Arabidopsis thaliana: one gene and its partner. The protein of the gene in region 1 interacts with the protein of each later gene in a pairwise test. Each region holds a gene or a part of one and is shown in the gene's direction. Other genes may lie near its edges.

Region 1 (4,859 bases):
ATGTAGATGCGCTTCTTATCATCGGTTTGCCAAATGGTCCTACTGCTCATTTCAAATTGTCAAATCTTGTTCTAAGGAAGGATATTAAGGTATGTAAGCTAACCATTACTCTTCTCTACATCGAGTGTAGATTAGTGATCACTGAATTGGATGTTAAATGTAACTGCAGAATCACGGAAATCCTACAAGCCATCAACCAGAACTGGTTTTGAATAACTTTACAACGCGTTTAGGGAATCGTGTTGGGAGGTATAGTTTTCATAGTGTTGTTGACTTGGTTTTATGGTCTCTTTGAATTTCTTGCTGATGTTAGATTTTTCCTTTTTTCAGATTTTTTCAATCACTCTTCCCTCCGGATCCTAATTTCCGTGGTAGGAGAGTTGTAACATTCCACAACCAGCGTGACTTTATATTTTTCAGACATCACCGGTACATAACTTCACCTTTTCTTCTTCGAGTTGCTTTTGCTCCATTCTCCAATAAAACTTTTTATTGAACAAATTTCAACACTATCCAGTTACATATTTGAGACAAAGGAAAGCAAGAGTGATAAAGGAAAAGAAGAGACAATAAAACCTCGTCTTCAGGTCAGTTTTGACCATGTTGAATCAAAAAGTAATCAACATTATCAATGTTTGTATCATTAAACTTTGGATTTTTAGGAATGCGGTCCTCGATTCACGCTTAAGCTAGTTACTCTACAGCATGGAACTTTTGACACCAAAGGTGGAGAATTTGAATGGGTTCATAAGGTAAAATCACCAGAAATGGACACGAGCAGCTTCATTGCTGTTCTTTAGAGTTTTTGATGATTTTTAATTTTATTTTCTGATGTGTTTTTTTTTTGTATTTCATTACAGCCTGAAATGGACACGAGCAGGAGAAGGTTCTTCTTATAAATTCTGCTGTCTTCCGAGTTTCACCAAGTTTTGTGTTTATTTTGCATTTTCGAATTTTCCCTACCTCCGTCCAAAATTGTATGTCTTTAAAACTTCTCATTTCTTTTTTCAATATAGCCATGAGCCATCGAAACAATCGTAAGAGTACTTGTTTCAACAATATAGGCCCTCGTTTTTTACTAAGCTATATATAGTTGGTTAAACTTATGATTGTTTGGTTTGGTATATATCGACATCGAGCATTTGAATCTACAGCAGTAATATTGGATTTTGTTTAGTAGTTAAGTGGACCTTTATGTTGCATAATTAATAGTTTTACGATCATCAGTTCATCACCATAATAATAGGATTAGATTTGAGGATGTGAATGGTTACGGTGGTTGAGACGGATAAATCCGTTTGCGAATTAGACCGTTTTTGATTTACCATTTATAAATTAGAGTATGTAAGATTATAGATTAAGAAAAATAAAAGAAAATCGTCGCGGATCAATTATAGACCGTTTTTACCGCCGTAAGCATTCAAATCCTGAACATCTCTAATGATAATGTAATAGGATTGACAAAAACAAATCTAAAAATTAATTACGATTATTTAGGTGTAGTATAGAACGTAATTACGTATATGTATGTTACTATGTTGTCAATTATGTCGGCTATAATATTCCAGAAAGATCCTTCGGAAAGGAAAAAAAAAAACTGAAACTTCGGTTCGAAGTTCAAACAATTTTTCTTACTGCCACGTGTTACTTCATACACAATTAAAATATTTTTTTGTCCCTCTCATTTGTCAACGTTTAGGGGAAAAACATTAATATACTTTTACTGCATTCCGCCACAAATATCTTTCTTTCTTTTTTTATGGTTCTTCTTCACCCCAACTGTATTAGTACTGTTCGTCTTTCAGAAAAAACAATAATAGATAGAGGAAAAAAGAAAGAAACAGAGAAGTGAGAAAAAGCCCTTAAAACTCAAACACTAAAAAATTTTCAGTGTCGATTCAAAAAGTTTTGTTATTTGATCTGTTTCTGTGTAAAAAAAATGGTGAAAGATCTGGTTGGGTATAGATTTTATCCAACGGGAGAGGAATTGATAAACCATTATCTAAAGAACAAAATTTTGGGTAAGACTTGGCTCGTCGACGAAGCCATTAGCGAGATCAACATCTGTAGTTACGACCCAATTTACTTGCCTTGTAAGTTTCCTCACTTCAAAATCATCATCGTTGTCTCATCATCGGTCATTTCTAATTCTGGATTTGTTTGGTTGTTGTAGCTTTATCGAAGATAAAATCGGATGATCCTGTGTGGTACTTCTTCTGTCCAAAGGAGTATACTTCTGCGAAGAAGAAGGTAACGAAGAGGACTACAAGTTCAGGGTATTGGAAAGCTACTGGTGTTGATAGGAAAATCAAAGATAAGAGAGGTAATCGCGGCGAGATTGGGATAAAGAAGACGCTTGTGTATTATGAAGGTAGAGTTCCTAAAGGTGTTTGGACTCCTTGGGTTATGCATGAGTATCACATCACTTGTTTGCCTCAAGATCAGGTATAATAAACTCAGAGTTTCTTGAATTTGAGCTTCTGTGTTAGTTTGACTTAGCGTTATGTTTCTGTTAGTTGATCTTCTTGAATTGGATTTGGGTTTGATTCATCTGTCCCTGTGTTGGTTGCTATCTTTATCCCAATTTGAGGTTAAAGTCATGTTCTTGTAAGAATAGATTTGGGTTTGACTTATCTTTTCCCTATGATGCTTAGTACATCAAGTTTAGGTTCTGTGTATCAGAGTTTGAAGTGTTATATATAGAAGTTGTGGCCTAGAAGGCTAGTGTATTTGCTTCCCTGTGTTGAATATATTACTGTAATCTCCCCTGTGTTGGTTGCTATCATTAGTACGTTCTGTGTTGTCACAGAGTTTTAAGCGCTATGTATAGAAGTTGTAACCTAGTGTTCTTACTTCTGCCAAAGCTTGTGATTGTTTGAGTTATGTGTGTTTGATTTTTTGTTTTGTTGGCAAAGAACTTATGTGTGTGTGTACTTTTGGAATTTGTTCAGAGGAACTATGTTATCTGCCAAGTGATGTATAAGGGTGAAGATGGAGACGTCCCATCTGGTGGTAACAACTCGAGTGAGCCGAGTCAATCTTTGGTCTCTGATTCGAATACTGTCAGAGCTACGAGTCCCACAGCGCTTGAGGTGACTCCAGTTTCTTTATTTGATAATCTCATGTACTTGATTCGTTTACTCAAAACTCTCTTTTACATTTTCAGTTTGAGAAGCCAGGTCAAGAAAATTTCTTTGGTATGTCTGTGGATGATTTGGGGACTCCAAAGAATGAACAAGAAGATTTCTCTTTGTGGGATGTACTGGATCCAGACATGTTATTCAGTGACAATAACAATCCTACTGTGCATCCACAAGCTCCTCACTTAACCCCGAATGATGATGAGTTTCTCGGTGGATTGAGGCATGTTAACCGAGAGCAGGTTGAATATTTGTTTGCCAATGAAGATTTCATATCCAGACCAACCTTATCTATGACCGAGAACCGCAACGATCACAGGCCAAAGAAGGCTTTGTCAGGGATTATTGTTGATTATAGCAGTGATAGTAATAGTGATGCTGAATCGATATCTGCAACGGTAAAGCAAATCACCCGTTTTCTTTATCGTTACTTCTGTGCTGTAATCTCCATTCTCACATTTTGATTATATTATGTCAGAGTTACCAAGGAACATCAAGTCCAGGTGATGATAGTGTTGGTAGTTCGAATAGACAATTTCTCCAGACTGGTGGAGATGAGATTCTATCGTCTTGCAATGATCTACAAACCTATGGAGAACCTTCCATCAGTAGTAGCACCCGGCAATCTCAACTCACACGAAGCATCATACGACCAAAACAAGAGGTTTTGCGTTGCTCTTATGTTGATTCTATATGATTTCAACATATGTTGGATATATAAAGATAATGATTATGTAACTTTCCTTCACAGGTGAAACAAGATACATCAAGAGCGGTTGATAGTGATACATCCATAGACAAGGAGTCATCTATGGTGAAGACAGAGAAGAAGAGCTGGTTTATTACAGAGGAAGCAATGGAGAGAAACCGCAACAATCCACGGTATATCTATCTCATGAGAATGATCATAGGCTTCATTCTCTTGCTGGCTCTCATTAGCAACATCATATCGGTGTTACAAAACTTGAACCCGGCGATGAAGTTTGATCGCGAGAGATAGACAAAAGCTAGCAGATTGATCAAAGCACTCGTTTTTACTTTGCTTTTATTTATTTCTATTTTCTTCCGAAATTTTGATGTATATATGTGTGTGTATGTATGACCAAGAGGTATGTCTTGTACCTAAAGTTAAATAAAATTTAGGGTTTGAAAATTTTATAACATTTAGAGCGGGTCCATAGTTCAGTGCCGTGGTGGAGCATTAGACTGCTGATAAAGAAAACATTCGACAGAGACCAGTGAATGGTTTGAAAGGTTTCTCAAAGATTTGGTTTGTTGATAATTAAGAGAATGATTACATACCGGACAAGGGACTGGTCTAATGTGATTGATACTTCGATGATCAATCAATCAAATATTACTTCGATGATCAATCAATCAATCAATCATATTACTTACAACTATGTAATATGATTCTATGAACCTTTTTCTTGTTTTTTGTAAACTTTAATCCCTTATCTTGCAAGCCAAATCCATAGACATATATTTTACAAAATTAGTAGTAGTACTATATTGAAGTAGAGAAAGTAATAACGCCATGTCGTCGTCGTCGATGGTGGCGGCTATAATTTCCGAAAGATCCTTCGACTCAAAATACACAAAAAAAACAAGGAAAAGAGAAAGGTTCATACTTTCGTTCGAAGCTCCGACAATGAACCGTCAATAATTTGCCACGTCTTCATTCTCATTCACAATAAAAATAAATTTTGTTCCTCTCAT
Region 2 (5,228 bases), on another chromosome or scaffold:
GCAACAATGTTCTTTACTTCATGATATACTCAACGGGAGGCTCAGATCATCGCCACGGCTTGATCGCTTCGAATCTATCCTCGATAGGATCACCGTCAAGCGGAATCTTGATGAGGAGTTTCATTCCAATGCCGTGTTCTTTAACCTGCGGGAGATTGATGAATCTAAGAGAGAGGCTTGTGATTGTCGGAGGAATCGGGAAACATGATCGACCAGAGGTTATAAAAGGGATAGGGATTTGGGTTTTGAAAGGGAAGGAATGGGTAGAGATGGCGAAAATGCCTCAAAGATTCTTCCAAGGTTTTGGTGAATTCGACGAGGTTTTCGCGAGTAGTGGCACGGATGATTTGGTTTACATTCAAAGCTATGGATCTCCCGCGCTTCTCACGTTCGACATGAATCTCAAGTATTGGAGATGGTCTCAGAAATGTCCTGTTACTAAAAAGTTCCCTCTTCAGCTCTTTACTGGGTTTTGCTTCGAACCAAGACTCGAGATTGCTCCTTAGTTGCAATGAAGAAGCAAATGGGTCTGTGAAAGTCTTGGTCTTTTGGATTGTTTTTGCACAGAGAAATCGCCGGCGGCTTTATGAAGATGATGATACGGTAATGTTTTTAAATTTTAGTTACTGGAAATGTTTTTCAGGAATATTGTTATTTGCAATTTGGTACTCTGTTAATTATAAATTTATAAAATGAGGCCCAGATACTTTTATTTGAACAAACGAACCCTTCTCTATCTCTCAGTGAAATATAAGAACATTTTTCAACATGTGGCCCACAATATCTCATGTAAATGGGTCGGATTCTGAAACTGGAGGTTGTCTTGTTGCTGTTCCTGGTGGATAAAAATAATGATTTTGTTCCTTTTTTTTCCACATATATTCATAATGATTTTTCATGTTTTATTAATTAATTATTGTTGTAAATTATTTTAAAGAATTATGTTTCTGTACTTGTATAAAATTGGGACCTATTTTCGTGATGGGATTTGTCAGGTTTGGCAGTGTTAGGTTTACGGGTAATGGACAACAGCTATTTTATTGTGTATTTTATCATTTTCTCAAGGGTCACTTATTTTCAATTTTCATAGCTATAATAATTTACTAAATTTTAAAATATAACAAAATGTCATTCATTAGTTATAATCGTATAAAAGTTGACGAAGTGATATATAGATTCTACATACTAAAAACAAAATTAATTTGTGTCATTATGCCAAAATGTCAAAAGGAAAAGAAAATTTAGACAATTACTCTGACACATCAAATCAGCTAAAACCTAACTAAATATACCAAACTAGCAACACATATTTTTGTTATTAAAAGCATTTATAATGATAAATCATGATCAGAATCATAGTAAGCAGATTCGAACACTAGTCTCTCAAATTTCGGTAGTAAAGTTTTCAACCATTAGAAGACAAATACGATTTTAACATCATTAGTATTGTTTTTTCTTTTTTAATTTAAGCGTTGGCTTTCCAAAATGAAATAGTAACAAGCATTAACGAGTTAAGTTGTCAATGGGGGAAGTTAAAACTCTTTAAAACCAAAAAATTGACCACACAACACATATAGTGCCCACTAGTTCTCTCAAACGAATATGGAATACTTTAAAACCCACCTCTATTCTCAAGAATTAAAGCCCAGAATTTCAACGTTCTAAAAATAGTTTTGAAAGATTTGTTTTTCACGGGTTTTTCGTAAAATAATTATGAACAAAACAAATAAATTCAAACTAATTTTTACACGTACAAATCTGACTCCTAGCCTCCTAGATGAAATTCAAAATTTTGTACCAGCAGCTCAAAGCTACTAGGTAAAAAATGTCACGAGAGAAAACCGGAGGAATATTGGTGGTTCATCAATACGAATCAAACCGAACCAAGTCATAAACCGGTTCATAGAAAGATAAGAAGACAGACAATCAGTCATCACTTTGGTCTCGTTGAGCCTTTCGTCTATCTCTCACCTGAAAGAAAGACGTTCAGCTTTCTCTTTCCAAAATCAAAAGCTCTCCGATCAGTTTCTCCGGCTTAGGAAATTAATTGAAGGAAGGTGATGAGAGGTACTACTGAGAATACGGATCTGTTCGATCCCAAAACCCAAATGGATCCTGACTTCACTCGTCATGGTTCTTCCTCCGACGGCGATTTTGGATTCGCTTTTAACGACAGTAACTTCTCTGATCGTTTGCTTCGGATCGAGATCATGGGTGGACCTTCGGATTCTCGGTCTGAAGTTGAAGGGTGTACGAGTATCGCTGATTGGGCTCGTCATCGCAAGAGAAGAAGAGAAGATATCAAGAAGGAATCTGGTGGTATGTAATTTGTTCGTATGGTTTAGGGTTTTTGTTATTGAAGTCGAAGTCCAAGTCTTTTTGGGTTTTAATGTTGTGATTTCATTTTGCAGTCACGATTTCAGACATTGTGGCATGTCCTGAGGAGCAGATTTTAACTGATGAACAACCTGACATGGATGGATGTCCTGGTGGTGAGAATCCTGATGATGAAGGAGGAGAGGCAATGGTTGAAGAAGCTTTATCAGGTACTACTATAGAGCAACATCCTTTGGCGAAGTTTTAGCTGTACACAAAGGAGCTTGTTTTGTTCTGAGAAGTGTTTTATTTATTTAATGTTTAGGTGATGAAGAGGAAACGTCTAGTGAGCCAAACTGGGGAATGGATTGTTCTACAGTTGTTAGGGTTAAAGAACTTCATATTAGTTCTCCTATTTTAGCTGCCAAAAGCCCTTTCTTTTACAAGGTATCTAAATAGGTTGTTGATGGATTTTGCTTTTGCTCTCATGTGTACCTTACTCTTTAATCCATTTGTGTTCTTTTTTTCTCGGAAATGTTGATAGTTGTTCTCCAATGGAATGAGGGAATCTGAGCAAAGGCATGTCACCCTTAGGATTAATGCATCAGGTACGCCATTGCAACATTAGCTATCTGAACGTGTTATTGATTTATCACACTAGATACAGTTGTACCGTTCTCTATTAGGTCCACAGAATCAAAATATGGTTTTGATTTGAGTTTGTTAAGGTAACTTGGAGATTCTTAGATTGATTTACATATTATACTCTACTTTGTGTGTATTACAGAGGAAGCTGCTTTGATGGAGCTTTTAAACTTTATGTATAGCAATGCGGTATCTGTCACCACAGCACCTGCCTTATTAGATGTGTTGATGGCTGCTGATAAGTTTGAAGTTGCCTCTTGTATGAGGTACTGCAGTAGACTTCTCCGTAATATGCCTATGACTCCAGAGTCTGCCCTGCTCTATCTCGAGCTTCCCTCTAGTGTTCTAATGGCCAAAGCTGTTCAGCCTTTAACTGATGCTGCAAAACAGTTCCTTGCAGCCCGCTACAAGGATATTACCAAGTAAAGCCCCTGAAACTACATATCCATGATATTACTGTAATCAAGAGCACATGAGATGGTGGGGCGATTCTTATAAGGCATGTCTAAACTTTCTTTTCCAGGTTTCATGAGGAGGTAATGTCTCTACCTTTGGCTGGAATTGAGGCAATTCTATCAAGCGATGAACTCCAAATTGCATCAGAGGATGCAGTTTATGATTTTATCTTGAAGTGGGCAAGGGCGCAATACCCTTGTTTGGAAGAGCGAAGAGAGATTCTCGGGTCACGCCTTGCACTCTCCATCCGCTTCCCATTCATGACATGCCGAAAGCTGAAGAAAGTGCTGACTTGCAGTGACTTTGAGCATGAAATAGCATCAAAGCTTGTTCTAGAAGCTCTTTTCTTCAAAGCAGAAGCCCCACACAGACAACGTAGCCTAGCCTCCGAAGAATCTGCATCCCTGAACCGCCGCCTGATAGAGAGGGCTTACAAATACAGACCCGTCAAAGTGGTCGAGTTTGAGCTTCCTAGACCGCAGTGTGTAGTCTACCTAGACTTGAAAAGAGAAGAATGTGGGGGACTGTTCCCGTCGGGTAGAGTGTATTCGCAGGCCTTTCACTTGGGAGGTCAAGGGTTTTTCCTGTCAGCTCACTGCAACATGGACCAACAGAGCTCGTTCCACTGTTTCGGGCTGTTCCTAGGGATGCAGGAGAAAGGGTCGGTGAGTTTCGGAGTGGACTATGAATTCTCGGCAAGGTCAAAGCCCGCAGAGGATTTCATAAGCAAATACAAAGGGAACTACACATTCACAGGAGGGAAAGCAGTAGGTTACAGAAACCTGTTTGGGGTCCCATGGACGTCTTTTATAGCGGAAGATAGTCAATACTTCATCAATGGCATTCTCCATCTCAGAGCAGAGCTTACCATCAAAAGGTCTACAGATCCTTAGTGACCGTTTACTTCTCAATTGTCACTGTCTCTCTTTCCTTTACCTGCTGCTAAATCTCTCGCTCTCTCTAACTTGCCTTTTTTTTCTTTTCTTTTATAAGGCTTGAAGAAGACTAATAAAGCTTATAAAAGTAAGGTTAAAAACGTTTCGACGACAACGTTATAAGAAGAATGTAAATGCGTTCTTTTTTTCTATCTACCCTTACTCTTTTGGCTTTGGATTATAAGTTTAACTCTTCAATGAAATTCTTAGCGTAGAGATTCTTGTATTATGAACGAAGTTGTGAACAGAAAAGAACGAACGTAACTCTCTCGTCTCATTTAACTAATTTATCTAGTTGGATTGAAATAGACATGACTTTTCGATTTGGGCCATGCGTATGTTGTTGGAGTTGGACTATTTTAAATTCCTGCAATCAATTTCAAAAAAATTCAAATCATATTGACCGTTGATTATATACCGTACACGTGGTACAATGTCACAGATATCTTATTATAATACTATACAGTTCACAGTCCTTTGTTTTCTTTATTAGACAATCATGAGACAAAGTACTGTAATAAACAATTAATCATACATGGAATTGTGAAGTAACTTTTTTGTTACTCTTTTACCAGAAATGATCAAATTTTACAAATGATTATTTTTTGTTCTAAAATTTATTTTAATGTCTTAGATTAAGGAAAGTAAACTAGTTTTGTAATAAATAAAGAAAAATAATTAAGCTCTTAAATATGTATAAATGATTATGCATTTAAGTATTAAGAAAGTGCAATAGTTTTTTTTATTTTATTTTATAATCAGAGAATCCTCGTGCACCAAGAATCTAGTTCCACTAATTAAGGTGTTATTCTTCTCCTCTAACACCAAATTATGTTTGTATCTCTTATTTAAATTCATTAATGACAGGTTTGACAT

What was found. Proteins that work in one complex are often made in the same cells at the same time.
Region 2: the proteins of NAC069 (region 1) and POB1 interact in binary tests that used the Arabidopsis thaliana proteins (3 or more experiments, as listed by UniProt).

What each region holds. Positions count from the first base shown.
Region 1 is NC_003075.7:673,306-678,164, reverse strand, and holds NAC069 (NAC domain containing protein 69), read left to right. Parts: upstream 1-1,719; 5' UTR 1,720-1,939; coding exon 1,940-2,093; exon of another isoform or gene 2,094-2,173; coding exon 2,174-2,445; intron 2,446-2,951; coding exon 2,952-3,092; intron 3,093-3,166; coding exon 3,167-3,538; intron 3,539-3,618; coding exon 3,619-3,804; intron 3,805-3,891; coding exon 3,892-4,140; 3' UTR 4,141-4,303; downstream 4,304-4,859. Other genes in the region: MEE49 (Ribosomal RNA processing Brix domain protein), read left to right, coding at 7-89, 170-249, 331-429, 518-587, 663-752, 861-899. UniProt on the Arabidopsis thaliana protein: Transcription activator activated by proteolytic cleavage through regulated intramembrane proteolysis (RIP). Involved in salt stress response during seed germination and seedling growth.
Region 2 is NC_003074.8:22,793,644-22,798,871, forward strand, and holds POB1 (POZ/BTB containin G-protein 1), read left to right. Parts: upstream 1-1,778; 5' UTR 1,779-2,060; coding exon 2,061-2,319; intron 2,320-2,411; coding exon 2,412-2,546; intron 2,547-2,641; coding exon 2,642-2,763; intron 2,764-2,860; coding exon 2,861-2,924; intron 2,925-3,103; coding exon 3,104-3,383; intron 3,384-3,484; coding exon 3,485-4,310; 3' UTR 4,311-4,410; coding exon of another isoform or gene 4,411-4,426; 3' UTR 4,427-4,681; downstream 4,682-5,228. Other genes in the region: HWS (Galactose oxidase/kelch repeat superfamily protein), read left to right, coding at 1-506.